3 linked regions of the Saccharomyces cerevisiae S288C genome follow. The protein of the gene in region 3 interacts with the protein of the main gene of each other region in a biochemical or structural test. Each region holds a gene or a part of one and is shown on either strand. Other genes may lie near its edges.

What was found.
Region 1: the proteins of HCR1 (region 3) and RPG1 form a complex in vitro, tested with the Saccharomyces cerevisiae proteins (one study listed by BioGRID).
Region 2: the proteins of HCR1 (region 3) and PRT1 form a complex in vitro, tested with the Saccharomyces cerevisiae proteins (3 studies listed by BioGRID, with this or other methods).

Annotation. Positions count from the first base shown.
Region 1 is NC_001134.8:392,985-402,428, reverse strand, and holds RPG1 (translation initiation factor eIF3 core subunit a), read left to right. Parts: upstream 1-4,151; coding exon 4,152-7,046; downstream 7,047-9,444. Other genes in the region: SAGA histone acetyltransferase complex subunit SPT7, read left to right, coding at 1-1,176; AAA family ATPase SEC18, read left to right, coding at 1,539-3,815; ECM33 (Ecm33p), read right to left, coding at 7,687-8,918, 9,249-9,306.
Region 2 is NC_001147.6:1,011,457-1,023,219, reverse strand, and holds PRT1 (translation initiation factor eIF3 core subunit b), read left to right. Parts: upstream 1-5,567; coding exon 5,568-7,859; downstream 7,860-11,763. Other genes in the region: oleate-activated transcription factor PIP2, read left to right, coding at 8-2,998; PRE10 (proteasome core particle subunit alpha 7), read left to right, coding at 4,474-5,340; 3',5'-cyclic-nucleotide phosphodiesterase PDE2, read left to right, coding at 8,399-9,979; VTS1 (Vts1p), read right to left, coding at 10,460-11,763. UniProt on the Saccharomyces cerevisiae protein: RNA-binding component of the eukaryotic translation initiation factor 3 (eIF-3) complex, which is involved in protein synthesis of a specialized repertoire of mRNAs and, together with other initiation factors, stimulates binding of mRNA and methionyl-tRNAi to the 40S ribosome.
Region 3 is NC_001144.5:534,226-545,551, forward strand, and holds HCR1 (translation initiation factor eIF3 core subunit j), read right to left. Parts: upstream 5,365-11,326; coding exon 4,567-5,364; downstream 1-4,566. Other genes in the region: ATG26 (sterol 3-beta-glucosyltransferase), read right to left, coding at 1-168; MMR1 (Mmr1p), read left to right, coding at 989-2,464; peroxin PEX13, read left to right, coding at 3,047-4,207; UPS1 (Ups1p), read right to left, coding at 5,784-6,311; NCW2 (Ncw2p), read right to left, coding at 6,584-7,348; glycylpeptide N-tetradecanoyltransferase NMT1, read right to left, coding at 7,712-9,079; rRNA-processing protein PWP1, read left to right, coding at 9,743-11,326. UniProt on the Saccharomyces cerevisiae protein: Component of the eukaryotic translation initiation factor 3 (eIF-3) complex, which is involved in protein synthesis of a specialized repertoire of mRNAs and, together with other initiation factors, stimulates binding of mRNA and methionyl-tRNAi to the 40S ribosome.

The sequences.
Region 1 (9,444 bases), on a different chromosome or scaffold from region 3:
AACGCTTTCCTTAACAACCACATTTATAATTACACTATTATTGATGACTCACTCGATATTGATCCGGTGTCACAGCTTCCAACGCATGATTACAAAAACAACAGGGAGCTGATATGGAAATTCATGCATAAGAACATATCTAAGGTTGCTATGGCCAATGGGTTTGAAACTGCCCATCCATCAGCAATAAACATGCTTACTGAAATCGCCGGGGATTACCTATCTAATCTGATAAAGACTTTGAAGCTTCATCATGAAACTAACTCCTTAAATAGAGGAACAAATGTGGAAATGCTGCAAACAACACTGTTGGAAAACGGTATCAACAGGCCAGACGATCTATTTTCCTATGTTGAATCTGAATTTGGTAAAAAAACTAAGAAACTTCAGGACATCAAACAGAAACTAGAAAGCTTTTTGAGAGCCTTATTAAGGCCAACTTTGCAGGAGTTGTCCGAGAGAAACTTTGAAGACGAGAGCCAAAGCTTTTTTACAGGTGACTTTGCCAGCGAATTGACTGGTGAAGACTTCTTTGGTTTTAGAGAGCTTGGATTAGAAAAGGAGTTTGGAGTTTTGAGTTCATCTGTTCCATTACAGTTACTGACTACTCAGTTTCAAACTGTTGACGGGGAAACCAAAGTGCAGGCCAAAAAGATCCAACCGGAAGAATCAGACAGCATTGTGTATAAGAAAATTACAAAAGGTATGCTGGATGCTGGTTCATTCTGGAATACTCTACTTCCCCTATTACAAAAAGATTATGAACGTTCCAAGGCCTATATAGCAAAGCAAAGCAAGTCATCTGCAAATGATAAAACCTCAATGACTTCCACAGAAGACAATTCTTTCGCTTTACTAGAAGAGGATCAGTTTGTCTCAAAGAAAACCGCAACGAAGGCAAGATTACCTCCTACTGGTAAGATAAGTACCACATACAAAAAGAAACCGATCGCAAGCGCGTTTATACTTCCAGAAGAAGACTTGGAAAACGACGTAAAAGCGGATCCAACAACAACTGTAAACGCCAAAGTGGGTGCAGAAAATGATGGAGATTCTTCCTTATTTTTGCGAACGCCTCAACCTTTAGATCCTTTGGATATGGATGATGCTTTTGATGATACCAATATGGGCAGCAATAGTTCATTTAGCTTGAGCCTTCCTCGCCTTAATCAATAATGAGCGCGCTAAATAGTTGAATATTTTATCTTTAATTAAATACATTTGCTTATAAAGGTTGTACTATTTACTTGTAGTTGATGTAGGATTCCAATTCAATGCACTTTAATACTCAGAGTACGCTTTATACTTCTGCAGTACCCTCTCTAAAATGTCACCTAGTATTTTTTTCTCTTTACACAAGCGTAGCGTCACTAAAAAAAGGTATTTCCCATGGGTTAATTCGGTATCACACTATACGTTAGGCGTACCAAATTTCGAGATTCATGAAATTGGCTTATTCGTAGCCTTTAAGTACTACCGTTGTTTCTCTCAAAGATAAGAGCAAATAGTACCGTATATTCAGCCTTTATAAATTGAGTATGTTCAAGATACCTGGTTTTGGAAAAGCTGCTGCAAATCATACTCCACCAGATATGACAAACATGGATACCCGTACACGCCATTTAAAGGTGTCAAACTGTCCAAATAACTCCTATGCACTCGCAAACGTAGCTGCTGTCTCACCAAATGATTTCCCTAATAACATTTATATTATTATCGATAATTTATTTGTTTTCACAACTAGACACTCCAACGACATTCCACCGGGAACCATTGGATTTAACGGTAACCAGCGTACCTGGGGTGGTTGGTCCCTAAATCAAGACGTGCAAGCAAAAGCATTTGATTTATTCAAGTATTCCGGTAAGCAATCGTATCTTGGTTCAATAGATATAGATATCTCATTCAGAGCTAGAGGTAAGGCGGTAAGCACGGTATTCGATCAAGATGAGTTAGCCAAACAATTTGTTCGTTGCTACGAATCTCAAATATTTTCTCCCACCCAGTACCTTATCATGGAGTTCCAAGGCCATTTCTTTGACTTAAAAATTAGAAATGTCCAAGCAATCGATTTGGGTGATATTGAACCAACCTCCGCTGTTGCAACTGGGATAGAGACAAAGGGAATTTTGACAAAACAAACACAAATTAATTTTTTCAAAGGAAGAGATGGTTTAGTTAATTTGAAATCATCAAATTCATTAAGACCAAGATCAAATGCTGTGATCAGACCGGATTTCAAGTTTGAAGATTTGGGTGTCGGTGGTTTGGATAAAGAGTTTACTAAAATTTTCAGAAGAGCGTTTGCAAGTCGAATCTTTCCTCCTTCAGTTATAGAAAAACTGGGTATTTCTCATGTTAAAGGTTTGCTATTGTACGGTCCTCCAGGTACTGGTAAGACCTTAATTGCAAGAAAGATTGGTACAATGCTGAATGCCAAAGAGCCCAAAATCGTCAATGGTCCAGAAATTTTGAGTAAGTACGTTGGTTCTTCAGAAGAAAACATTCGTAATTTATTTAAGGATGCAGAAGCAGAATATAGGGCCAAGGGTGAGGAATCTTCCTTACATATTATTATTTTCGATGAGCTGGATTCTGTTTTCAAGCAGAGAGGTTCAAGAGGTGATGGTACCGGTGTAGGGGACAATGTAGTTAATCAATTGTTAGCTAAAATGGATGGTGTTGATCAATTGAATAATATTTTGGTTATTGGTATGACCAATCGTAAAGATTTAATAGACAGTGCTCTTTTGCGTCCAGGTAGATTTGAAGTCCAAGTTGAAATTCATTTACCCGATGAAAAAGGAAGACTCCAAATTTTCGACATTCAGACGAAGAAAATGAGGGAAAATAATATGATGAGCGACGATGTTAACTTAGCTGAGTTAGCTGCGTTAACAAAAAACTTCTCTGGTGCTGAGATTGAGGGTTTAGTGAAGAGTGCAAGTTCTTTTGCAATCAACAAAACCGTCAACATCGGGAAAGGTGCCACAAAACTTAACACTAAAGATATAGCAAAACTTAAAGTAACAAGAGAAGACTTTTTAAATGCACTCAACGATGTTACTCCCGCTTTTGGGATTAGTGAAGAAGATTTGAAAACATGTGTGGAAGGTGGAATGATGCTTTATTCCGAACGAGTTAACTCAATATTGAAGAACGGAGCCCGTTACGTCCGCCAAGTTCGCGAGAGTGATAAATCCAGGTTAGTATCTCTATTAATCCACGGCCCTGCAGGGTCCGGTAAAACAGCTTTAGCCGCTGAAATTGCTTTAAAATCTGGATTCCCATTCATCAGGTTAATTTCTCCCAACGAGTTGTCAGGCATGTCAGAAAGCGCAAAAATTGCCTATATTGATAACACTTTCAGAGATGCGTATAAATCTCCACTAAACATTCTTGTTATTGATTCGTTAGAGACTCTAGTTGATTGGGTACCAATTGGTCCAAGATTCTCTAATAACATTTTACAAATGCTAAAGGTTGCATTGAAGCGTAAACCCCCACAAGACCGTCGTTTATTGATCATGACTACTACATCAGCTTATTCGGTACTTCAACAAATGGATATCTTGAGTTGCTTCGACAATGAGATAGCAGTTCCAAATATGACCAATTTAGATGAATTGAACAACGTCATGATAGAATCAAACTTTCTTGACGATGCTGGTAGAGTTAAAGTTATTAATGAATTATCAAGGAGCTGTCCTAACTTCAATGTCGGTATTAAAAAGACCTTGACCAACATTGAAACCGCAAGGCACGATGAAGATCCCGTGAACGAGCTTGTTGAGTTGATGACCCAATCCGCATAATTATTTCAAATTTTTCATGTCCTTGTATTTTTATTCTTTATCCCTTCCAATCAGAAAGGATCTAGTGAACAAGTTCTTTCCTCTATGGTATATATTTTAGTGATAAATTTTATAAAATTATCAAAACCAAGGCATCCTTTCCTTTTATTCTGTCATTGGAATCTGCCTGTCATAATTATCACCCACCGGGTAAAGATGATAATTTTTCAGTCGCTTTGCCCGAGAAGCTTTGCCAGGTGAAAAATTTTTCTTGGTGAACTAAATCGAAAGTAGATATACTTACAACTATAGAGAGAGTTCCAAAATAAACCATACAAACGCCCAGGAAACATCAAGATGGCCCCCCCACCATTCCGTCCTGAAAATGCCATTAAGAGAGCCGATGAACTTATTTCTGTTGGCGAAAAACAAGCTGCTTTACAATCTTTGCATGATTTCATAACTGCCAGAAGAATCCGTTGGGCTACACCTTCAACTGTTGAGCCAGTCGTGTTTAAATTCTTGGAAATTGGTGTTGAACTAAAGAAAGGTAAGCTGCTAAAAGACGGTTTGCACCAGTACAAAAAATTAATTCAAGGATCTACCGAAGGTTTGGTTTCTGTCGGTGCCGTTGCACGTAAATTCATTGATTTAGTCGAATCTAAAATCGCTTCTGAACAAACTAGAGCTGACGAACTTCAAAAGCAAGAAATCGATGATGATTTGGAAGGTGGTGTTACCCCAGAAAATTTGCTGATTTCTGTTTACGAGTCAGATCAATCTGTGGCTGGTTTCAATGATGAAGCCATTACTTCATGGTTAAGATTTACTTGGGAATCATATCGTGCAGTCTTAGATTTATTGAGAAACAACGCTTTGTTGGAAATTACTTATTCTGGTGTCGTTAAAAAAACTATGCATTTCTGTTTGAAGTATCAGCGTAAAAACGAATTCAAGAGATTAGCTGAAATGTTACGTCAACATTTAGATGCTGCTAACTACCAACAAAGTAAATCAGGAAACAATTTAGTTGACTTGAGCGATGCTGATACCTTGCAACGTTATTTAGATCAACGTTTCCAACAAGTCGATGTTTCTGTCAAGTTGGAATTGTGGCACGAGGCTTATAGATCCATTGAGGATGTTTTCCACTTAATGAAAATATCCAAACGTGCTCCTAAACCATCTACTTTGGCTAATTACTACGAGAATCTCGTAAAGGTCTTCTTTGTTTCCGGTGATCCATTGTTGCACACTACTGCCTGGAAGAAGTTTTATAAGTTATATTCTACCAATCCAAGAGCCACGGAAGAAGAATTCAAAACATATTCTTCTACAATTTTCCTATCCGCTATTTCTACCCAACTAGACGAAATTCCATCTATTGGCTACGATCCTCATTTACGTATGTACCGTTTATTAAACTTGGACGCCAAGCCAACTAGAAAGGAAATGTTGCAATCCATTATTGAAGACGAATCCATTTATGGTAAAGTTGACGAGGAATTGAAAGAATTGTACGATATCATTGAAGTTAACTTTGATGTCGACACAGTGAAACAACAGCTGGAAAATTTATTAGTCAAATTGTCTTCTAAAACCTACTTCAGCCAATACATCGCACCTTTAAGAGACGTCATTATGAGAAGGGTTTTTGTTGCTGCCTCTCAAAAATTCACTACTGTCTCCCAGTCCGAATTATACAAGCTCGCTACCCTACCTGCTCCGTTAGACTTATCTGCTTGGGACATCGAAAAATCGCTGTTACAAGCTGCTGTGGAAGATTATGTTTCAATTACCATCGATCATGAATCTGCTAAGGTTACATTCGCTAAAGATCCATTTGACATTTTCGCATCAACTGCTTCTAAAGAAGTCTCTGAAGAAGAAAACACAGAGCCAGAAGTCCAAGAAGAAAAGGAGGAAACTGACGAAGCTCTTGGGCCACAAGAAACTGAAGACGGTGAAGAAAAGGAAGAAGAATCTGATCCTGTTATTATCCGCAATTCTTACATCCACAACAAGTTGCTTGAATTATCCAATGTCCTACACGATGTTGACAGTTTCAACAATGCTTCATACATGGAAAAGGTTAGAATTGCCCGTGAAACTTTAATTAAGAAGAACAAGGATGACCTTGAAAAGATTTCCAAGATTGTTGACGAACGTGTCAAGAGATCTCAAGAGCAAAAGCAAAAACATATGGAACATGCTGCCCTACATGCTGAACAGGATGCTGAGGTCAGACAACAGCGTATTTTGGAAGAAAAAGCTGCTATTGAAGCTAAATTGGAAGAAGAGGCTCACCGTCGCTTAATTGAAAAGAAGAAACGTGAATTTGAAGCTATCAAAGAAAGAGAAATCACAAAGATGATTACTGAGGTGAATGCTAAGGGACATGTTTACATTGACCCTAACGAAGCTAAAAGCTTAGATCTTGACACCATTAAACAGGTTATTATAGCTGAGGTATCAAAGAACAAGAGTGAATTGGAAAGTCGTATGGAATATGCTATGAAGAAGTTAGATCATACGGAAAGAGCTTTGAGAAAGGTCGAATTGCCATTGCTGCAAAAAGAAGTTGACAAGCTACAAGAAACAGACACAGCAAATTATGAAGCTATGAAGAAAAAAATTGTCGACGCCGCCAAGGCCGAATACGAAGCCAGAATGGCTGATCGTAAGAACTTGGTCATGGTCTATGATGATTATTTGAAGTTCAAGGAGCATGTTTCGGGCACTAAGGAAAGCGAATTAGCTGCCATCCGCAACCAAAAGAAGGCTGAATTGGAAGCTGCCAAAAAGGCCAGAATTGAAGAAGTTCGTAAGCGTCGTTACGAGGAAGCCATTGCAAGGCGTAAGGAAGAAATTGCAAATGCTGAAAGACAGAAGCGTGCTCAAGAACTCGCTGAGGCTACCCGTAAACAAAGAGAAATCGAAGAAGCTGCTGCCAAGAAATCAACTCCATACTCTTTCCGCGCAGGAAACAGGGAACCTCCAAGTACACCAAGCACTCTACCAAAGGCGACCGTTTCTCCAGATAAAGCTAAATTGGATATGATCGCTCAAAAACAAAGAGAAATGGAAGAAGCCATCGAACAGAGACTAGCCGGTAGAACAGCTGGTGGGTCCTCCCCAGCTACTCCAGCTACTCCAGCAACCCCAGCAACCCCAACTCCATCTTCTGGTCCAAAGAAAATGACTATGGCTGAAAAGTTGAGAGCCAAGAGATTGGCCAAGGGGGGCAGGTAACAGACAACGCAAAATGATCTACTTAATTTATACCGTTTTTTATACGTATAAGAGTATGTGTACATAATAACAATTTATTAGACTATTTCTTTCTGATTGCTTTTTCATGTCAAAGGAAGGAGCAGAAGAGCAGTAAAGATGGCAGTTATTTTAAAAACGAATTTCGAGAAATAGTTGGTATAAATAACTATAAATAACGTTTTACTGTTTTAAAAAAGCGATCCGTTAAAAGGCCCTAACGATTCTTTAGAAACTTGAAACGTTAGCGGAAGAGCACTTTGTTTTAAACCGTAGTAAGAATTTTTTTATATTTTATTTCATTTACTTATTTTTTTTTTTTCTTTACTCCTTTTTTTTATGTTACTTAGACAAATTTCATTATATTAGGTAAAGCTAAAGGATGGTAAAAAGTCTGAGTGGTTCTTTTAATTAAGGTAGCAAAAGTTGATGAAACTGGAACTTCAAAACAGTAATAATATAGTAACAATAAGAAATAAAAGAGATATTAACGACACTAAAATTTTATCTACATATAAAATTCAGTGATGAACCAACCGTCTCATAATAAAAAAGGAATGGTAAAGAAATCATTAGAGAAGAAATTAAAGTAATAATAGAAACACAAATTGTTGCTTTAATCTTATAGTAAGGCAACGCCAACAGCAGCAACGACACCCATGAATGAAGTGGCTGGAACAAGTTCTGGAGCAGCACCCTTAGACTTCTTAGAAGAAGAGGAAGAAGAGCTAGCGGAAGCTGAAACGTTAGCTTGAGCATTGGAGGCATCACCACTAGAAGAAGCGGAAGATGTAGCAGAGCTCTTGGATGATTCAGTAGAAGTAGAGGATAGCTTAACGGAGGTAGATGTGGCACCGTTCTTGCAAACAAAAGAGTCACCTTGAATAGCACCGTTACTTTGCAACTTCTTCAAAGCGTTACAGGAGAAGTTACTGGAAGAAGAGTCGAAGTTAGCACCACCTCTAACAGACTTCAAAGAAGATAAGTCCAAGGTTGAGAAGTTACCAGTAACTTCAATGGCACCACCAACAGTTTGAACCTTGTTAAAACCGTCAATGACCTTCAATTGTGTGTTGTTAGCAATGATGAAACCACCACCAACAGTAGTCAAGTTACTGAAAGCGGCCTTGGATAATTCATCGTTGGAGACGATAGACAAAGATTGACCAACCTTGCTCAATTGGGTCAAGTTCAAACTTGGCAAAGTGTTGTTAATGAAACCTAAGGAAGCGTTAACAGTTTGCAAACTACCGAAAGAAATAGAGTTAACATCTCTCAAAGTGATGTTGTTAGCCCAGACCAAATTGTCGAAGGCCAAAGTAGTGTTGTCACCGTTGGAAGAGAATTGTAAAGAGTCAGAGACACTTTCCAAGGAAGATTGGAAAGAGTTTAGATATCTGTTGTTGTTGATGTTAAAAACATTAACCTTCTTCAAAGTGGAGAAACCTTCGACACTTTCCAAAGTGGTGTCAGAAACAATAATGTTGTTAGCATTTTGTAAATCGGTGGAGAAGGTAGAAATGGCAGGCAAAGTCACCATGTTAATGGAGTCTACTTCTTGCAAAGAACCGAAAGAAGCACTGGTCAAAATGATCAATTCTTGCATGTTCAAATCACCGGTGATTTTCTTGATAGAGTCAGCGGAGAAAGAAGATAAAGAACTGGAGTTGAAGATAGTCAAGGAACCATCAATCTCTTGGATACTAGCCAAAGCAGCGGAACCCAAGTCACCGGTGATGGTCAAGTTACCAACAATGGTACTACAACCGGAGATTTTGTCCAAATCAGCTTGAGCAGTAGCAGTGGCAGAAGTACCAATACTACATGAAGATGGAATAGAAGTAGTTGAGTTAGCTGCTTAGATAAAGAAAAGTAGTGTTAGTATTCCCGATCGATTTATACATGTATTATTCTGTTTCATTACTCGCCCTAATCCTATGACAGGCAGAAATATTGAAGAATATTCCAAAACCATCCTCACGAGATCTCGAAACCCGTTTCCTCTTTTGGAAATTTTTTTTTTTCGCATTGTCCGTCCGCGTCAATCGAGACCTATGAAAAAAAGCCCAGTAATCGACAAAGAAAAAAGAAAAGAATGAAGAGGACCACGAATCTACTCGAGATTTGTGAGGAAAGAGGCAAATAAAGAAAAAAAGATGAAAAAAAAGGAGAATGTGTACATACCAGCTAGAGCGGAGGCACTTAGAATAGCAGTAGCAGTCAAAGCGTTCTTGAATTGCATTGCGGAATAATAGTAAAATTAAAACTAGATCTTTAAAAGTCAAATAAACGTATTCTTGATAGCTCAAAGGGACTTGTTGAAAGAAAAATGGAAAAGATTAAACTGTGTAGAAGCGAATGAACGATTAACTCTTTTATT
Region 2 (11,763 bases), on a different chromosome or scaffold from region 3:
ATAAAAGATGTACTTTACAGACGAATCATCACCGGCAATGAATAGAGTAGGTAAAAAAAGGAATAGACTTTCTTTTGTTTGCCAAGCTTGTAGAAAAGCAAAGACGAAGTGTGACCAGGAAAAACCTAGATGTGGCAGATGTACTAAACAAAACCTCTTTTGTATATATGATGTCGCCAGACAGGCGGCCCCTAGGAATCCGAATAAGGATGCCACCATAGCGAGACTGAAAAAGGAGATTCGTTACTGGAGAAATAAAACCGTGGATTTGACTCAAGAAAAGAAAGACTTCTACACTGCATTGAAAAGGCCGACTGAAGAATTAGCTGCTAGAAGGACATGTAAAAGCTTGCAGGAAAATAGCTTTCCAATAAGTCTTTATAAGACTCATCCCAGATTGATTATGACCAAAGTGATGAAAAGAGAAATCAACCCTTTATCTGAGAAGTACTTAATATTTCAAGATACCTTTCTGAAGACATTAATTGCCTCCGTGCTTCTAAGTTGTTCCAGAAACTCCATGATTCCTGCTTTAAATGCAGATATTAGTAGGTCGAGGACACAGCCATGCGTAAAGAATAACGTTGTAAAAATGAGAGAGGTTCTATTGAAAAACTCAAAATACGAATCACAAAGAAAATCCATTAACGAGTTTACGGACAGGCTACTACAGAGAAAGAACCCTGAAGAACAGATTGCGGTAAATAAAGTAATTTCTTTATTATACAGTAACAGGGAATCGTCATATTTAGAGGATACATGCCCCACCGAAAACGACTATTCTGATTTGTTGAAAGGCTACATCAATGAAATCGAGAAAACGCTCCCTCCCAAGGCAATCATTGAACAGTACCTCTCTCATTTCTTTGAGCATATTTTCCACCTAATCCCTTTCGCCAGCAAGGAAATGTTGGAGGAATCAATTCACACAACAGTACAGTATAATGAATTAGGAGAGGTACGACTATCGATGGGCACAACCCTTATACGAAATAAAATGGAGAATCTGTGTATCTTACTGTTAATTTTGAGGATCGCGTATATCTCTTTGACATTTATAGAAGATAAGATTGAAGATTACAGTCCGTATATTACCAAAGAGATGCTAGAGCAATATCCGATTCAAAGCGAAGTAATTTTCCTAGCGCAGCAGATACTTGCATCGGAAAATTGGTGTGCTTGTGCAAATGAAAATACCATTTCATGCTTACTCTATATCTGGTGTGCATTTGTTTTTTCCCCAACTGAGGGTGATTTTCTGTTAGAACAACCGTCGGATGTTATAATTAACCTTGTCATACTAATAGGGACGTCTATCGGATTACATCGTGACCCATCTGACTTTCCAGCCTTGAACCACCCCGAAGCTTCAGACAAAAGGCTGCTAAATTTACGAAGGATACAGTGGCTATCAATTATCTCTATGGCAACTCTGGAGTCAAGCCTGAAGGGTAGACTATTGGTCTCACCCCTTTCAATGATTGATCTTTTCATTGACGTTCGGGATCCCAATTGTGTAGAAATCTATAAAAAAAGGGTTAAGAAGGATCTAACAGGTTCCGAATCGGATGAGCAACTGCTCGAAATCCATGAGATTTTTTTCCATAGGGCTCAATTAGCATTATTCTTGTCTGATTTGAATAATATAACCATTTCATACAGTGGTTCGGTTCCAATGGATACACTAGAAACTTTACGCGTTAAAGCCAATGAACTTTTAAAAAACAAATTTCAGCTAAGAAGTGTGGATATTAACATCTACGACGAAGAGAAGACATTTCAAAAACTAACGTTCAATTCAATTTTGAATTCTATAAGTTTATCGGGCCAGATCTTGGGTAAATTAATGATGTTAAGGGCCTCAATAGCGCTGATGTTATATTTTGAAACACTTGCAATGGAGAGAAGCGAATGCTTATCCTTCTTCTATAAGTATTTTTTTCAATGTTGTGCCGACACCATTTCCCTAATCAGATTTTTTTTCCTGTATTTCAATGGCAGTTACGAGAAAGTTCTTTCTTCTTTAGTTTGTTTCATCACTACAAAAGTTATTCAATTGGCTGTTCCTACCACGATGTTTACCCTTTTGGTCATCATCATGCGGGTAGAGCTGGCCAAAAATATGCTTCTGGTCAAATGTAACGAATGCAATGCCAGAGGTGACATTAGTGACCTCCCAGAAATAAAGGAGAAAATAAAGTCATTGGACACTATCAAGGAGAACTTCGAGAGGCTTTTGTTGGAAGTATATTTACTTGCGTCCCAAAACCTGAGATTTAAATATTTCTACATTTTCAAGATGTTGACCTTGTTTGACGTATTCATTCAAAGGCTGAGGAAAGGTCAATTATTTTCTGGTTTGTTTGTCAAAGTAGACAAAGACTTGACTACCAAAAAAATTGCCACAATGTTGGAGTTGACACTTGGAATTAACTTGGACAAGTCTGACCATTTAATTGATAGACTAAAGGGCAAAAATCTCACTGTTAACTTTACCCTTGATCAATTATACCAAATCATCAAAGAATTTGACAGAATAAAAAACATCGGTGTTGCTGACCCACAAAATTCTCTGAATCCATCAAAACCAAACATGAAAGATAATACACCCACAATTGAACTTTTACTCAACTCCAGCGTGGAAAATGAGAGTGTACCACCGTACAGCAGCTCAAATGACCCTACAAATGTTGGTAATGCCTCCACTTATAGCTTAGCACACAATATTAGTAACCAAAATAATGAGGAAAACATGCCTCCGTCAATTGGTTCGAGTGAAAGTAACCGTGCCGCTCCTAATCTAAACTTTATGCCGATAAACAATAACTACAATAACAGTGGTTCGAACATTAATAACAATGACAATGTTAAGTTACCGAGTAATTTTAAAAACTACTATGACCCTCCCATGTCTTCTTTGGACATATCCATGGATGTTCCCGATATTTTTGGTAGCCTTGATTTCTTCGATTATGACCTACTTTTCCAGAACGACTAGGAAGTCTTTTCCAGTTTTCCTGAGATGTATACGGCCACTTCATTGCGCCTAATACGGTAGAGTGTCGACATAGTTATTCTATCAGGTTGTATCATGACAAGAACTTGTGAGCTTTCCGCTTAGATATGGCTCAAATAATATACTGTAAATTATGGTGCCTTTTGATAGCGCATTGAATTGGGACTGGAAATAATGTCAACTATTGCAGAGATAGAAAAGAAATTCAAGACTTTGTTTTGTATTTTATTTAATATATATATTATACATAAGTTAAAAGCGCAGTATATAAGGTAGGTAATATCGCTGCCATCACGGTAGGAACGCCAGTTTATTCCATTTACAATAGGAAGATCTGAAACTAAAACAACGGCCGTGCTTATAAAGCATTACCAGTATGAAAGTCCTAAACAAGAAGGAAGCACCTCCTCCAAAGACGAACCCACCTTAATTATATAACTTTTAATGTCTAGGTTATAAAACATTGACAGCTCAGACGATAGAAAAACATGTGATACGAATCATTTCGCCGTTGTGTGTTTTAAGAAGAAAAATGTTAATGTTAGCAAGACGAAATCACACGTATAAATAAATATAGCAGCACGACCAGCTTGGAAGTTCAAAAAAAAAAAAAAAGTGAAGATAGACAATCATAGGCACAATTTCTGATGGTAGTGAACATATAATGGGCAGACCAAGCTCTAGCAACTTAATGCAGAGAAAGATTTGAAGCTACCGCCGCGTGTTCAGCGTGACTCTCTATAATAGGCCATTTATGTACAAGATCTTCTGCAATCCTATCAAGTATTCGTACTACTATTTTCCCTGCCAATTAGACGTGATGAAAAATATTGCTGGGCTTTGGTTTGAAAACGACTATTTAAATAAATATTACCTTTCCTTTTCTTCAATTGTTTCTCATCTCCTTCGGCCTCCGTTAAGTATATGTTTTTTTACGCGTTGTCAATGACAATACCGCAGGATGCGAATGTGTGACTTCGTAATCATCGGTGTGAAAAATACTCTAACTTTAAACAAAGGTAACATCTAAACTGTCTGGAAATATGCAGCTATTCCCATGTATACACACTAGAAAGAACAGTATTTCCCAGGTCCCAGAAGTTCTCTGTATATGTAGTCCTACCCGTAATTTACCCTTTGAAGAGATAATCTGAGCACTCAGATTTCGACCCTGATGGGGTCACTTTTCTGAATCATTGCTGACATTGCTTCTGAAAAGTGTTGCCTGTGTCTTTATTCCACTTATGAGTTGGTAAGCTTCCTCACAATTTATAATGGGTTCCGATAGCTAAATCACGTTTAACGAAGATTTCGCCGCCCCTCTAAATCGGTGGCAAAAATAAGAAAGTAAGTGGTAATAGTGGCGGTAGAGGGTTTATTTGGTAGTGCAGTTGTAAAGCTTTCAAACACATTCGAGCGTCGCATCATCAAATTAACAAAAGCATAACTCTTCAGCAATGACATCAATTGGTACTGGTTACGATCTTTCCAATAGTGTTTTTTCCCCCGATGGTAGAAATTTCCAAGTAGAGTATGCCGTCAAAGCAGTCGAAAACGGTACCACATCAATCGGTATAAAGTGTAACGACGGTGTAGTCTTTGCAGTGGAAAAGCTCATTACGTCTAAACTGCTGGTCCCACAAAAAAATGTCAAGATTCAAGTCGTAGACCGTCACATCGGTTGCGTTTATTCAGGTTTGATTCCTGATGGTAGGCACCTGGTTAATCGTGGTCGTGAAGAAGCCGCCAGCTTCAAAAAGCTGTATAAAACGCCCATTCCCATTCCTGCATTTGCAGACCGTTTAGGACAATATGTGCAGGCGCACACTTTATACAACAGTGTTAGACCGTTCGGGGTCAGTACCATCTTTGGTGGTGTAGATAAAAATGGTGCTCATCTTTACATGTTGGAACCAAGTGGCTCTTATTGGGGCTACAAGGGGGCTGCCACTGGGAAAGGTAGGCAATCTGCGAAGGCTGAATTGGAAAAATTAGTTGACCATCATCCAGAAGGTCTTTCAGCAAGAGAGGCCGTTAAACAAGCTGCAAAGATTATCTATTTGGCACACGAGGATAACAAGGAAAAGGATTTTGAATTGGAAATAAGTTGGTGTTCACTGTCGGAAACGAATGGTCTGCACAAGTTCGTTAAGGGCGATCTGCTACAGGAAGCTATCGATTTTGCCCAAAAAGAAATTAACGGCGATGATGACGAGGACGAAGATGACAGTGATAACGTCATGTCCAGTGATGATGAAAATGCTCCAGTGGCTACGAATGCAAACGCTACCACTGACCAAGAGGGTGATATTCACCTAGAATAGGTGACATTCTGATAATACGTTAAGAAGAACCAAAGAGTTGAAATAATATGAACTCACGTGTAACGCCGCGAAACAAAAAATACATTTTAGTACCTTCCATTACATTTTACGTAACTAGATAAACTTCTCATTGTGCACCATCTTATCATTATTACTTGATCGCCTAATACTTTTATTCTTCTGACACCTATTACCCTCCTTTCCATATTTTGGATAGCGGGAAACTAATGAAAAATTTTCTTCCACGCACATTGAAAAATATTTACGAATTATATTTCAATAACATCTCAGTACATAGTATAGTATCTCGCAACACACAGCTCAAAAGGTCAAAGATAATTCAAATGACTACCGAGACTTTCGAAGACATTAAGCTAGAGGACATCCCTGTTGACGACATTGATTTTTCCGACCTGGAAGAACAATACAAGGTCACTGAAGAATTCAATTTCGATCAGTACATCGTCGTTAATGGTGCCCCAGTCATCCCATCCGCCAAAGTTCCTGTTTTGAAAAAGGCTTTGACTTCTTTGTTTTCCAAAGCTGGTAAAGTTGTTAACATGGAATTTCCAATTGATGAAGCCACTGGTAAGACGAAAGGTTTTCTCTTCGTGGAATGTGGCTCAATGAACGATGCTAAAAAAATTATCAAGAGTTTCCACGGTAAAAGACTGGATTTAAAACATCGTTTGTTTCTTTATACTATGAAAGATGTTGAAAGATATAATTCTGACGACTTTGACACCGAATTCAGGGAGCCTGATATGCCTACATTCGTTCCATCTAGTTCCTTAAAATCCTGGTTAATGGACGACAAAGTGAGAGATCAGTTTGTATTACAAGATGACGTGAAGACTAGTGTGTTCTGGAACTCTATGTTCAATGAAGAAGATTCTTTGGTGGAATCTAGAGAGAACTGGTCTACCAATTATGTTAGATTCTCCCCAAAGGGTACCTATTTGTTTTCTTACCATCAACAGGGTGTAACTGCATGGGGTGGTCCAAACTTCGATCGTTTGAGAAGATTCTATCATCCAGATGTAAGAAACTCTTCCGTCTCTCCGAATGAAAAGTACCTGGTCACTTTCTCCACGGAACCAATCATTGTAGAAGAAGATAACGAATTCTCTCCATTTACCAAGAAAAATGAGGGTCATCAATTATGCATCTGGGACATTGCTTCTGGTCTGTTGATGGCAACTTTCCCAGTGATAAAGAGCCCATATCTGAAATGGCCTTTAGTTAGATGGTCTTATAATGATAAATATTGTGCTCGTATGGTTGGAGACAGTTTAATAGTTCACGATGCTACTAAAAACTTCATGCCATTAGAAGCTAAGGCTTTGAAGCCTTCTGGTATTAGAGATTTCTCATTTGCTCCAGAAGGTGTTAAATTACAACCATTCAGAAACGGTGACGAGCCTTCTGTTTTATTGGCTTATTGGACTCCTGAGACTAATAATTCCGCTTGTACTGCTACCATTGCTGAAGTTCCTCGCGGTAGAGTGCTAAAAACCGTTAACTTAGTTCAAGTCTCCAACGTAACTCTGCACTGGCAAAACCAAGCTGAGTTCCTGTGCTTCAATGTCGAACGTCACACAAAGTCTGGTAAGACTCAATTCAGTAATCTACAAATTTGTAGGTTGACTGAAAGAGATATACCAGTTGAAAAGGTTGAATTGAAAGATAGTGTCTTTGAATTCGGTTGGGAACCCCACGGAAATAGATTTGTTACAATTTCTGTTCATGAAGTAGCTGATATGAATTATGCTATCCCAGCAAATACAATCAGATTTTACGCTCCAGAAACTAAAGAAAAGACTGACGTAATTAAAAGATGGAGCTTGGTCAAAGAAATTCCAAAAACTTTTGCCAACACTGTTTCTTGGTCTCCAGCGGGTAGATTTGTGGTTGTAGGTGCTTTAGTGGGTCCAAACATGCGTAGATCAGACCTACAATTTTACGATATGGACTATCCAGGTGAAAAGAATATTAATGACAATAATGATGTTTCAGCTTCTTTGAAAGATGTTGCTCATCCTACCTACTCTGCGGCTACTAATATCACTTGGGATCCATCTGGTAGATACGTTACCGCATGGTCAAGTTCTTTGAAACACAAGGTGGAGCATGGTTACAAAATTTTCAATATTGCTGGTAACTTAGTTAAAGAAGACATCATTGCTGGCTTCAAGAACTTTGCCTGGAGACCAAGGCCAGCTTCCATTTTGTCTAACGCCGAAAGGAAAAAGGTTAGGAAAAACTTGAGGGAATGGTCTGCCCAATTCGAAGAGCAAGATGCAATGGAAGCTGACACCGCCATGAGAGATTTGATTCTACACCAACGTGAATTATTGAAGCAATGGACCGAATATAGAGAAAAAATTGGCCAAGAAATGGAAAAATCTATGAATTTCAAAATCTTTGACGTTCAACCAGAAGATGCCAGCGATGACTTTACCACCATCGAAGAGATAGTTGAAGAAGTTTTGGAAGAAACAAAGGAAAAGGTCGAATAAATTTCATGAACTTACGGGCTTGTATGTAAACTAACAACAATATCTAGTATAAGTATGAGAATTAGTCTAATATTCATAAATACTACAATAGGCTCTATTATCTTTGTAATCTGCAGGGGTCGCTCTCCTCGTACAAAATTATAAAAGGGTCCTGCGTCCTTTTCTAGTTGCACTTTTCTTTTTTTGTTCTCCGAGAATTTCTTTTTACTGGGCACAATTTTTCCTCTTTTCTTTTTGTTTTAGGCATTATAAAGAAGAAAAATTGGCTTAGAGAGAATATACTTGCAAATTGAAAACTATAGTCACTGTGAGAGATTGGACTAAAAAGCGCAAATTTGAGATAAAGTGGGATCTTCCTGATATTAGCTGTCGTTACTGGTTTTAGCACGAGTTACCGACTATTTTGCGTTTTTCTTTTAAATTATTTTGTTGTCCCTCTTTATCTTTTGCACTGACGCTTTATTAGCCACTAATTAGAGTATCCAGACATTCTTTTTGAGATCACTACTACTTAATTGAAGAAAACATAACCTATTGATATGTCCACCCTTTTTCTGATTGGAATACACGAGATTGAGAAATCTCAAACAATTGTACAGAATGAACACTATTTTGATAGAGTGATTGAGCTTCAAGATTTGGATTCTCTGATGGTAGCATTGTATAAGGACAGAGTTTCGCCTTTTCCAAACGTCCATAACTTTGAAACGGGCGTATCTATAGTTCTTTATGACCCTTCAAAATTTCAATTATCTGTGCGACAATTGGATGTTCTATTCAAGCGATTTTTCCCATCTTTCAATATTTCTGCGATAGATCATACACGAGAGGAAAACCTGCAACGTCTTGAATGTGTTGAGCGTGAAAATAGCATCTGTCGTAATAGAATAACGAGAATTAACCACTGGATGTATCACCATCATGATGATACTCCAGACGGTATTAACAAAAACAGCTATGGTACTGTAAATGGGAATTCTGTCCCCACTCAAGCATGTGAAGCAAACATTTACACTTTATTATTGCATTTGAATGATTCCAAGGCACAACATTTACGAAAGGCATCAGTGCCAAGGCTAATTCGCAACATCGAGTTTATGTCTTTTTTGTCAGATCCAATAGAAAAAATTTCTCAAGAGGGATCACATTATTGGAACATTCTATCAACTTGGGACTTTTGTGCTTTATCATTAAGCACTCAAGAATTGATTTGGTGCGGGTTCACGCTTATCAAAAAGTTATCTAAGGATGCAAAAGTACTCATTGCAGATAATAAGTTACTGCTACTACTATTTACTTTAGAATCATCCTATCATCAAGTTAACAAATTTCACAATTTTAGGCATGCCATCGATGTCATGCAAGCCACATGGCGATTGTGTACATATCTTCTTAAAGATAATCCTGTACAAACATTACTGTTGTGTATGGCTGCCATAGGTCATGATGTCGGTCATCCTGGGACTAACAATCAACTATTGTGCAACTGTGAATCAGAGGTTGCTCAAAATTTCAAAAATGTCTCTATCTTGGAGAATTTTCACAGGGAATTATTTCAACAATTGCTATCAGAGCATTGGCCTCAATTGCTATCTATCTCCAAAAAAAAATTTGATTTTATTTCCGAGGCTATTCTGGCCACAGATATGGCATTGCATTCTCAGTATGAGGATAGATTAATGCATGAAAACCCAATGAAACAAATCACTTTGATATCTCTAATTATTAAAGCTGCAGACATCTCTAATGTGACGAGAACCTTGTCAATATCAGCACGTTGGGCATACCTCATTACTCTCGAATTTAATGATTGCGCTCTTTTGGAAACATTTCATAAAGCTCACCGCCCAGAACAAGACTGTTTTGGCGATTCATACAAGAATGTTGATTCTCCGAAAGAAGATTTGGAATCAATTCAAAATATTTTGGTGAACGTAACAGACCCTGATGATATTATCAAAGACCATCCGCATATTCCAAACGGTCAAATATTTTTCATTAATACGTTTGCTGAAGTATTTTTCAACGCATTAAGTCAAAAATTCTCAGGATTAAAATTTTTAAGCGATAATGTCAAAATCAATAAAGAATACTGGATGAAACACAAGAAACCACAATAGCAAGAATATCAAAATTTCTTGTACCATTCATTGTATAAACATATAAATATATACATTTACTACTAGTATATTTCCTTTTGTGAAGTATTTGTGCTAAAATTCATTACCCATTTTATTTTTTTTTCAAATATGCGTTCTTCCTTTAATATTGTATAATAATAACCCAGTTGATTATGGCTATTGTCTGTTTTAAGTGATATATATATATATATATAGATACATACATTAAATTTATTTTTCTTTGATTAAATTAATGTTTTTTAGTATAGTGATACATATTTCCCGAGTTAAAAGTTAAGTAAATAGTTTTATGCCATTAAACGGTGCAAAAACAGGTGTAATCTAAAATATTAAACTCCATAAAAGAAAACGTTAAAATTACAAAATAAATGAAATATGTTCCCTGTGTTGGTATATGCAAAGTAAATAAAAATTAAATCTTTATGCAACGTCAAGACAATCAACTTTATTATGCCAGATTTAATAAGCAGATCTATCAATTAAATCACGTTCTTTGTAATCAATAACGATTCCAAAAGCCTTCAACAATTTTCTCCTTGCACCCAAGGCAAGAACGCCTTTTTTTTCTAAAGTCTCGTCATCTAAGTAAATCAATTCGATCCACGGGGTTCCGCTTAAGGCATCTGAATACTTGTGTAGTCTTAACGATTTTAACCACATGGGTATATTTTTTAGTAGCTTGGGGTCTGTCAAACTCTTTGGATTCATCGAAGAGTTACTCGATAAAGGAGTGTTTCCGTTAGATGATGTAGATGTCGATGTGGCACTTGTAGGACCAGCATTAGGATGCGTAATGGTATTATTGAACACGTTCTGGTTGGACTTATTCAAATCAGTTCCTGATGGTCTTGAAGTATTCGAAAAATATGAGGTGGTATTATGCAGAGGATGATGCAATGAATGATGGTGATGAGAATTGTACTCATTTCCCATGTTAGACCTTTTCTTTGGTTGGAAAAAAGAATGGGAACTTGAGAGAGAGTGAGAAAGATAGTTGGGATTCTCTGATGGCAACTTTTTATATTTGGTACTGTTACCGTTGTTGAATTGTTTCTGGACAGGAATGAGATTTGGGCTTGAATTAACATGAGGCTCAGCCGACTTGGACCTTTGACTAGCGTCGGTGATGTTGTCATATATGGGTTGGCTAATTGGTATTGAATGTGGCTGAGGGGACCAATTTTGATACAACAAGTTATCGGTATTTTCAGGGTCATTAGTTATAGGACTTGAAGAAAAGACTGAATCAATATTCAAAATTTGTGTGTCATCCCTATTAGGTATAGGTGATGCAATTGCAGGTAGCGGTGGGGAGATGAAGGGAGTGTTTGTCAAAGTCTCTATTTTTAACTTAGTATATTTCAAAACATCATCATTCAAAATGGAAAGGATATTGTCCATTACAGTATTTTGTTGGCTGCTGTTCAGCATGGATATCCAAGAACATAATTGGTTGATGTCTTGGCTGAAATTGGTGCCCATGTTCGGATCGTTTTTTTGGGATTGAGACTGTTGTTGCGATTGACGGGATTGCGGCAAAGGAATTGAACCACTCTGCGATGGAATACCCAAAATATTATTTGGAGATCTCTGAAATGAATCCAAATACATAGATGTTGAAGATAAAGTAGATTGCAACGCCTTTGGAGATTGCATCATGGGGGAAACGATAGCAGAACCAGCTGCTGTAGACGAAACTGTTTGAATATTAAGGGAAGGCAACGACGCCTGCTGTTGCTGTTGTTGCTGCTGCTGTTGTTGCT
Region 3 (11,326 bases):
ACTGCTATTTGATCTTCCTCTCCAGCGCTTGAACTTCGAAAGTGACCTTGAAAGGCGATGATGCCTAGGGGAAGTTTCTGGCTCAGATGGCTTATCAGGTACCAACGAAATGCTTGGTTTTGGCCCCGCCTCGCTATCAGACGCTGATATGATTTGAGTGATGGGCATTCTTTTAAGTTATACGGATTTTCACCAAAGCATAAAGTGCAACTGAACTTCTGATGTTTACTTTTTGACAGCCATGACTTTATCAGTGATAAATGCAATGACTTTCCGATCTACTCCTTCTGTTGACTTTTAGTCCCTTTTTTCTTAGATGTTATGTTACAGTCACATCAGGGTTAAGTTTTTCCAAGTCATCTCAAAACAATGACCTATTTTATTTCTAGATAAACCCTGGTGTAAGCAGGGTTAATTTTGTCCCAAACGGGCAAAATATAAATACCCCTTTCGGGAAATAAACTAAAAAGAGTTCTAATTAGCCAATTGGCAAGAAAGCTCGATGAAGAATCATTATGGGTTTAGAAATCAGATTTCCTTACTTTACAAGTTCTCTCACGCAAGCTTGATCGTTTTTAAATTTTCTACGTTCATTCAAGACAAAGTGGTTACAGATAGAAGTTTTTCTCACATTTAGATTATTTTTTCCTGATAGTATTAAATAACACGTACGATCAACAAATTGTTGCTCAGTTTAAGTGAGCCTAGAGAATTAAGCTTTATTACTGCTGTATTTTCTGTTATTTTGATTGCCTTGGGAATAAAGGAAAGGTTTGGAGGGGCACATCTTCCTAAATAGCAGTAAGGAAAAAGAATCGCGTGTGAAGTCTTTTAAATCAACATAGTTATCCTCGGTTCCAACTATTTTACTTTCGTTTCAATTCCGTTGTTCTTAACTAATCTTCTTTTCTTTTAACTTGTTACAAGCCAGTACTCATTGCAAAATCAAAAAAAAAAAACACAACTAATAAACTAAACAACTAAAAAAATGAATTCTCCAACAATGAAATCGGAACAACTTACTCCAAAACTCTCACCAATGTCCTTTTGTTTGGATGACCAAAGAAATGCAGGCTCTTTTCAAAATCTATTGAACTCACCTACGAAGCTAAAATTAGACACTGGCCCGATTGGTAATTCCTTGTTATATCCAACATCACTCTCTAAATTGAGCGAGTTATCAAGAGGTGGACGTTCTAAACAAAGAAGGGGCTCTGACACTATGAGGTCTGTATCGCCTATTAGGTTTCAGTTTTTGAACAACACTCCAAAGATGTTAAAACCCGAGTACCTATCTCAAACAACCAGTAATCTGCCATTGCTATCTGCCCTATTGAAGAATAGCAAGAAAACTACTAGTGAAGGCCAGAATTCAAACCCTGATCCATTGAACATAGAGAAAAACATCATTAAACAAAGCATCAAGGACAAACTAGAGCAGCTGCGCAGTTCAGAATCCGTTGCGCAAGTACAAAAGAAAGAACGCAATCCCCCTTCATTTGAGGCCAAAGTCTGTGCGGAAGAACCGATATTACGGAAAAACGCCGAAGGGTTGCTCCCCTCATACGTTCCTGTTCCTGCTACTCCTTTGGAAGATCCAGAAAATCATGGGGTGCGAAAGGTCGAGGACAAAGGACTTAGAGTCGTCTCCGGCGGCTCCACTCAGTGTCTAAGCACCGAAGTGAACGAATTGCCTAAGGATCTGAATCTAGACAATTTACCTACGGATAATAACGGGTTCGTTCAATATGGTCTCAAAGGCAATAACAACAACAACAGATATAGCTTTATCTCGTCTACGTCGACGGACTATGAGCCCGAATGGTGTGACGGACAACAACATATTTCAATGCAAATGGCCTCTATGGCCAATGCAGAGGAGGCAAATAGTCGTGAAAAATCGAATTTAGACATAAAGATCAAGCAGCTAGAACTTGAAATTACAGAATTAAAGTTGCAGAATGAAAAATTAGTGCATTCCATGACGACGAACAGATACATTGAAGAAAGATTTATGCTTGAGGTTATGAAGGATCCTAGTATACAGGCTCAAAGATCCCAAAGAGATATTGAGAGAAAAGTCAAGCAACTGGAGAAAAAATTCTTCAATTGTAAAAAAGTTCTTAAGAAATTGACTGAATCCTCCGCAGTAGTGGCCACCTCCACTTCAAAAACTGAAGGAAATTCAGCAAGAATCCCATGCCCTAAGACTAGACTGGCACGCGTTTCTGTTTTAGACCTAAAGAAAATTGAAGAACAGCCAGATTCTTCTTCGGGAACTTCGTCCGAGGAAGATCATCTAACAAACGATGATACGGATGCTAATACTAGCGAAGATTTAAATGTTGCTTTTGAAGAGGAGCCAACTTCTGCTATTTCCACAACAGCATCTGTGCAGAGTGGGGAAAGTAAAAGAGGTTTCCAACTTAACCTTCCTGTCCAAGTGGAGAAGAAGGAAAAATGAAGCGTCAACTTCAAATTAAATTAACTTATTTTACACAAACATTCACAATACATCAATGCTGATAGGCGCTTTGTATTGTAGGCTATCGAGTTACGCATCTGCAATGTGCGTGATTTCTCCGTTATCCATCCTTCTCATTGGACAATTTTTATTTGAATATTACTGAACTTCAAAGGGCTTGTCGTGTGATTTAATCTTTTTTCTTACAACGTCGAATGCTGCAGCTATTTATTCATAGTGTCGTCTAAGCAAATACCCCGCTTTTAAAAGCTGAATAGAAAATCCAATCACGGTGTGACTGGTATCACAAACACATAATTTATATATTGCATTCAAGTTTATTCAACCTATACTTAAATACATTAATTACCAAAAAAAATGATATAATAAAGTCTTCTTTTATCTGATTAATGACACCTTTTTCAGCGGGCCAAATTTTTTTTATTTCCGAAGCCCGCCGGACTAATATTAATTATATCAGATAGTTGGTGAGCAAACGCATGTGGAAATGAACAACAATTTCGAAAGTGCATATACTATCTATAAATATCAAGGGGATTCTATACTATAACAATACCTGCGATGTCATCCACAGCAGTACCACGACCTAAACCTTGGGAGACCAGTGCTTCGTTAGAGGAGCCACAGCGTAATGCTCAGTCTTTAAGTGCGATGATGACCTCGAATCAGCAGGATTCCAGGCCAACTGAAGAAAGCAATAACAGTAATAGTGCAAGTGAGTCTGCTCCCGAAGTTTTGCCGCGGCCTGCGGCACTTAACTCCTCTGGTACCTACGGCGAATCGAATACAATACCGGGAATATACGGTAATAGCAATTATGGGATACCCTATGATAATAATCCGTATAGTATGAACTCTATATACGGAAACAGCATAGGGAGGTATGGCTATGGAGGATCGTACTATGGCAACAATTATGGATCGTTTTATGGAGGAGGGTACGGTGCAGGAGCGGGATATGGAATGAATAATGGAAGTGGACTAGGTGAGTCGACGAAGGCCACCTTTCAGTTAATAGAAAGTTTGATAGGCGCTGTTACTGGATTTGCACAAATGCTGGAATCTACTTATATGGCCACACACAACTCGTTTTTCACCATGATATCCGTCGCAGAACAGTTTGGTAATTTGAAGGAAATGCTAGGTTCATTTTTTGGTATCTTTGCTATAATGAAGTTTCTTAAAAAAATACTCTATCGTGCTACTAAGGGGAGACTAGGAATACCACCAAAGAATTTCGCAGAATCTGAAGGAAGCAAAAATAAACTAATTGAAGATTTTCAAAAGTTTAATGATAGTGGTACCATAAATTCTAATGAGAAAGCCACAAGAAGGAAAATTTCATGGAAACCGCTACTATTTTTTTTGATGGCAGTATTTGGTTTTCCATATCTACTAAACAAATTTATTACTAAACTACAGACCTCTGGAACCATACGAGCATCGCAAGGAAATGGTAGCGAGCCTATTGATCCTTCGAAGTTAGAATTTGCAAGAGCGTTATATGATTTTGTTCCAGAAAACCCAGAGATGGAAGTTGCTTTAAAAAAGGGCGACTTGATGGCAATTTTGAGTAAGAAAGACCCTCTTGGGAGGGATTCTGACTGGTGGAAAGTGAGGACAAAGAACGGCAATATTGGCTACATTCCGTATAACTATATTGAGATCATAAAAAGACGGAAGAAAATTGAGCATGTTGATGATGAAACGCGTACACACTAGTGCATCAATATTTGCACACATATATTCGCATATATATATAGTAAAATCTAAAGTAATGTAAATATTCCAGGGAGAATCAGCAGAAACGAGACGAAGTACTTCTTAACAAAAAGCCAGATAACGGTGCAAAAACACATTATATTCTCCATCTTGAAAACACAATCTCCTACGTACACATATGCGTATTTATTTTTATATGAATGAAACGCCTATGGATATATATATGGGAATATAGACATTCACAATTTCAGGACAATTGTGATATGGCAATATCCAAGGCCTGCGGTGCTGGGCTTCGCTTTTTTTCACCAACAAAATGAGATGGACAAGTTTATCATAGCAAAGAAACAATAAGCAGATTACATAAAGTCGTCATCACCGAATTCAAAATCGTCGGGGCCATCTAGGTCGAAATCTTGATCTTTCTTAAATGCGCCACCCAAATTGGTCTTACCTTTGACTTTCTTCTTACCAGCACCCCCAGTAGCAGTACCACCTCTAACACGGGCCAGACGAGCTTGCCTCTCCTCTCTTTCCTTATCTTTGATCAAAACGTTCAAAGTAGCAACTGTTTGTCTTATAGATTCGATGGACATTGGTTTTGCTACATCTCTAATCAAATCAATCGCTAACGATGAGGAGTAGTTCAGCGGAGATTTTTTGTTCATTGGTGTAATAGCAGCAGTAAGAGCCTTTCTTAAATCCTGGTACTCTCTCTTTGTTTCGGCGTTAAACAAAGGATGTGTTTCGATAGGTGTGTCCTTGGTAAAGGCGGGTCTTTTTAGAGCTTGTTCCTCTTGTTCCTTTTGTAAAGCACGAGCCCTTGGATGTTCTTCGGCAACACCTAAACCCGCAAACAAATCTGCAGCATTGTTTAAGTCAGACTCCATTTCAGCCTTTTTGATTAATTCTTTACGTGTCTTTTCATCCAATGTGTCAATATCCAATAGGGCTCTGTCAGCGGAGGATTCTTTCCCTTTTTTAACCTTTTTTGGTTGTTCTTTTTTTGGCTTTGGGGCAGGCTTCTTTTCTTCCTCTTCTGCATCCCATGATTGCATGACAGGTTCGTCATCACCAATTTCAGCATCCCATGAGTCCATCAAAACGGCGTCATCATTACCCATAGAACCATTGATAGCTTCGTCGTCCCAAGACATTTTTATTACTTTTTTTTTTTTGAGGTGGTGGTTAGGATAGAATAGTTACAAGGAACTCAAAAGATAGTAAGATAATTTAAAGCGAGAGTTCAAGAATGGTGGGAGCAGTCAGTTCTCAATTCTTTAATGTAGTACTTCTGACTTAGCTAGCATGAAAAAAAAATTCGGAAAATGCCCAAAAACAGGTGTGTTCGTCTAATATGATACAGGGACGACCATAATATCAAGATTAGTGACATTTGATGTATAGTTTAGCAGAATGACTGTTATAAATAAATAATTATATATGTGTGTATATTAAATTTTGTTGAACCAGCGCTTATTTACAATTTTTAGGACGTGACCAAATGCGAGCTGCACTAGTTTTCTCAATTTCGCTCGCCCATGGTGATATCTTTAAAGATCTTTAAATGGGAACATCAAAACTGAGGATTTCTCGCCTCTTCGAGTTTTTGGATAACAAATGCCATGCCCATTCTGCTTTTCTTAACGTTTTCGTCAAATTTAGTGCGCGACCAATCCTCTACCTTAGATTTGATACCCATATTGAAGCCACTTGAAAACTTCACCCGGCTGTCTGCTATCGTACTACTTGTAGCACTGTCAAATTGATAGGTAGTATATTCTTCAACCTTCATGATTCCAGTGTGATCCAGATTCCTAGTGTAAGTTTTCATTGTGGAGTTAGCGGGGTTCACTACGGAAACTTCGATTATCCATGTTTCTGTTATACCTCTTAAAAAGGGTTTGACCCATGTGGGCAGCTTTCCGGACTTTTTCAACAGCCTCGTTGTGCGCAAATTTCCTTCTTGATCAACGTTCCTTGATATTGTGTCTATGGATAGTACATGGGGGGAGTATGGATTGGGGTATCTATTAAAAAAGGCGCGTGAAACAGAGGCAAAATCGGTAGGAAATATATGTGTGCTTTTGTGTAAAAGGACCATTGCAACTCTTAAGGATATCTTACCGCCGTCTCAGAAGCCAGACAATACTTATTGAATATGATTACTCATCCATCTGTCATATATATTTTTTTTTTCTAGCTTATTATCCAGGGAGAGCGAGAAATACTGCGGAGTTTTTCACCCGAAAGAAAAAAAATACGCAAGCACGATGATAACAATAGTTATATTATTGGTTACCTACAGTGTATAAAAAGAAAGAGTTTTATTAAAATGCAGAACTATGTGGTGGTATACAGAACTGATTATACATTCTATAACAAAAGGGCACCAACGGCGAATGCACCCGCACCATAAGCTATGTGAGTGCCGGCAAAGGCGCCATTGGTAGAATTGGACATTACGGACGCTACCTTACCGTTGACTGTAGACTTGTATGTAGTGGTCAGTGTCTCTACTGTAGAACCTGACGTAGTGGTATAAGTTGATTTGATAGTGCTTACTACCTTGGTGCTTGATTCCGGTTTTGATGAGGATCCCGAAGATGATTTACTTGATGAAGCCGTGTTGTCAGTTGTGGCTGAGGACGGTAGCCACCAAACAGTAGATGTGTAAGTCTCACCTAACGAATTCGTGGTAGTTACTATAGTAACTGGCCCGTCCGTTGATGTTGATGTCGTTGAGGAGGATGCGGAGTTGGTGATTCCGCTTGACGTCTCTCCGGTGGGCTGCACAGAGGCAGTTGAAGTTGTGCTTACGGCAGAGTTGCTTTCGGCCACCCACCATAGGTACTGTGTCGTGGTTTTGCCTTGTGCATCCGTCGTCACTACGGTGGTACTTGGAGCCACAGCATAGGTGTTGCTGACGACGTTGCTAGTTTGTACTAAGCTTTTTCCGGTAGAAACTACAGTTGATGCGCTTTCTTGGGCTTCCTTTGTCGTGGTAGGTGTGATCTCTTGAGAGTTTGAGCTTTCCTTTTGTGAGCTATCTTCAGAGTTCTGGCCATCTAAGGAACCAGAGTCTTTTTGAGCAGCGGCTAGAGTAATTAAGGTGGTAAATAATATGGAACAGGCCTTCATTTTATATATATGTTGGGTTTGTTTATATTTTCACTAGATCGGTGAGTATCTAGTCCAGAAGAGTTGATCTTTCTTACATACTTATATATGCTCACTACCGCCTTCTGAGAAAGTAGGCGTTTTTCAGCTACCTCAGTCGCTAAAAATAAATGCGAGTTCTCAAGCCAACTTGGACTCCAAGGCGGTAATTATAGTGATTCTCTTTGTCTATTTTTGGATTTATTTTGGAGGCTGACACTCTAAAGCCAGCCATTGGATTAATTATTTTTTCACTTCGTCAATTGACTATGCGGAAAAACTAAATGTGGTCAAATTCTGTCGGCTATGTACACGAAAACTATATACGCCTCGTCCTTTCAGCCACTACAACATAACAACACCGACATTGCTACGCCTTTTAATGTCGTTACTATTGTCGGGATTCAAGCCACCGGTAATCGGCTTTGCTCTATAATTAAATAAATAGAAGTTCAAGAACCCGTCACCGGGCCCGAACTTCAAATCATCCAAGAACAATGTATTATCTTGCGAAGTCAACGCGTTAAAAACATCCATATTAGCGTTTTTGGCCAAAATACAAGCGTCATAAATCAATTCACACAATCTTGTTTTCAAAGCCTTAGTAGCTTTTGGATCAAACCTGTCTTTGAATTGGAAATCTGCATCGGTGGCATAATAATACAAGTACCCGATGCCTAGGTCCTTATATTTTGTGTTATTTAGGATTGTGAATGGCAATGAGTAAAATGAGAAGAAGTCTGTAATTTTTCCATCGGGCTGTTCGACTACATATGAGAAAATTACTTGTTTATCCAATGGTAACGATTCTTCACCAATGAAATTATGTTCGAATTCTTCTTTTGTGAAAATTTGAATTAGTTCGAACCTGGATTGATATCTTTTGAACAACTCAAAAACTTGGTCAATATCTTCCTTCTTTAATTTTCTCAATCCCGCTGTCTTTGTTTTGGCCGGTAACGCATTCTCAGCAATCATATCCTCCTCTGTGTGCCCATCTGGTAACCCTGTGAAATCTACTTCATAAAGTTTCTTCCAATTCAAGGGACGATGAGTATAACGACACGTACTCACAGGTGCTGGCAAAACAATACCTGCCGTGTACAATGCATGCCAGATGTCACATTTGTTCACTCGTCTCGTAATTTCTTTAATTAGAACAGGTGTTAATCTCTTCGATCTTAGCTGTTTGTGAACGCACAAGAAATTGATTTCTACACTAGGCACTTGTTTACCTCTAACACCAAGTGTTACTGGTATGGCTGAGATAAAGGCAACTAATTTCTGTGTTTCTTTAACGCGAACACCAATATGCCAATCCTTCTTCCAACCTGGACTCTTTAAAGCCCAATTGAAGAATTCTTTGGTATAGTTAAATCTGAAGCCTGCATCGCGGTCTTCCACGTAGTTTTCATTTAGTAGAACGAAAACATCTTCAAGCTGTTTTTTGTTGTCCACATCAATACTACACCATTCGAAGCTAGACAATAAAGGTAGTGGCTTGTCAGATATATCTTCCGGTGTCTTTGGCTTATCAATGGGGCCTTCTTCCACCACCTTTTCATCGAAATCTTTGACCGGTTGCGTTCTCCAGAATTTGTGGTCTTTCATAGCTTTTTTCTGTTCTTGAGTGAATTTTGAAGTATCGTCATTATTCAACTGTAATAACTTCAATAAATTCTCTAATTTTTTCGCTTTATCCTCTTCTGACATTCTATAAATACGTTTACTACCGAAGCTCTATGACAACCAGAGCTATTGTACAGATCATTCTCTAAAAAGCGTGCAACACATATCATCTTCAATTATAGTGAATTACTTTTATCATGAGCAACGGCTGAAATTATTTTATCCTATTGTTTTATGACAGTATCCTTTCAAAAGAGTCGAAAGGATCCTCTGTTGCAAGAACTACTATTACGTAATTATACATAGTCCGCCTGCAATTTCTAGTGAGACTTTGCTTTGCTTTCCACTTTGCGATTAATATTGAGAATTTTAAACGTTAACTGAATTCTTACCCACCCATAATAAGAACTCTAACTGGCGAATTTATCATGAAACAAATCTGCAAGAATAAAAAATTAGAGAATCGTGCAATTCAATTTAATTGCCTTGTCCGTTGTAAAACTTTTCCATAGGCCCTACCTTGAGTTGATCATATGTATTATTCTATATATATTATATCCAGTCGGGTAATAAATTTTCTCGCCCTCGAAAAAAAGAAGTGAAAAATTTGTCTCGATGAGCTGAGATGAGTTTGAAAGAAGCAAAGAGTTTTAATTTGTAAACGATAGCAAGTGTACCCTCAGTTGAGTCTATTACGCCTTCCTTATTTGGAAACTTAGAAGACGAATAAAAAAAACAAAATAACTAATGATTTCTGCTACTAATTGGGTTCCAAGAGGGTTTTCCTCGGAATTTCCTGAAAAGTATGTTCTGGATGATGAGGAAGTGGAAAGAATTAACCAATTAGCACAGTTGAATTTGGATGATGCTAAAGCTACTTTGGAAGAAGCAGAAGGCGAATCAGGTGTTGAAGATGACGCCGCAACAGGTAGTTCTAATAAGTTGAAGGATCAGTTGGATATAGATGATGATTTGAAAGAATATAACCTGGAAGAATATGACGATGAGGAAATTGCAGATAATGAGGGTGGTAAAGACGTTTCCATGTTCCCGGGTTTAAGTAATGATAGCGATGTTAAATTCCATGAGGGTGAAAAAGGTGAAGATCCATATATTTCATTGCCTAATCAAGAGGATAGTCAAGAGGAGAAGCAGGAGTTACAAGTTTACCCATCCGATAATTTAGTTCTTGCTGCGAGAACAGAAGATGACGTTTCGTATTTGGATATCTACGTTTACGATGACGGTGCTGGGTTCCACAGTAGCGATATTCCCGTTGAAGAAGGTGATGAAGCTGACCCAGATGTTGCTCGTGGATTGGTTCGTGACCCTGCACTTTACGTTCACCATGATTTAATGTTGCCTGCTTTTCCACTATGTGTTGAGTGGCTTGACTACAAGGTTGGATCCAATTCCGAAGAAGCAGCCAATTATGCTGCCATTGGTACGTTTGATCCACAAATTGAAATTTGGAACTTGGACTGTGTTGACAAGGCCTTTCCCGATATGATTCTGGGTGAACCTCTTGATAATTCAATGGTGTCTTTGAAAAGCAAAAAGAAGAAGAAGAAGTCTAAGACTGGACACATTACTACTCATCATACCGATGCTGTTTTATCCATGGCACACAACAAATATTTCCGTTCCGTTTTAGCATCCACCTCTGCAGATCATACCGTAAAACTATGGGATTTGAACTCAGGTAACGCAGCCCGCTCCTTAGCTTCCATTCATTCAAACAAAAATGTTTCATCATCTGAATGGCACATGTTGAATGGTTCCATTCTTTTGACCGGTGGTTATGATTCTCGAGTAGCTTTAACAGATGTTAGAATTTCTGACGAAAGTCAAATGAGTAAATACTGGTCTGCCATGGCAGGTGAGGAAATAGAAACTGTTACATTTGCCAGTGAAAATATAATATTATGTGGTACTGATTCTGGTAATGTGTATTCTTTCGATATTAGAAACAATGAAAACCGTAAACCAGTTTGGACATTGAAGGCACACGATGCTGGTATCTCCACATTATGTTCAAACAAATTCATCCCTGGTATGATGAGTACAGGGGCCATGGGTGAAAAGACTGTCAAATTATGGAAATTCCCCTTGGATGATGCTACGAACACTAAGGGCCCAAGCATGGTTCTGTCTCGTGATTTCGATGTCGGAAATGTATTGACATCGTCATTCGCTCCAGACATCGAGGTAGCGGGTACCATGGTCATTGGTGGTGTCAATAAAGTTTTGAAACTATGGGACGTTTTTACCAATAGATCTGTACGTAAGAGCTTTAAAAGTGAACTAGAGAATGTTCAAGCAAGAGCAAAA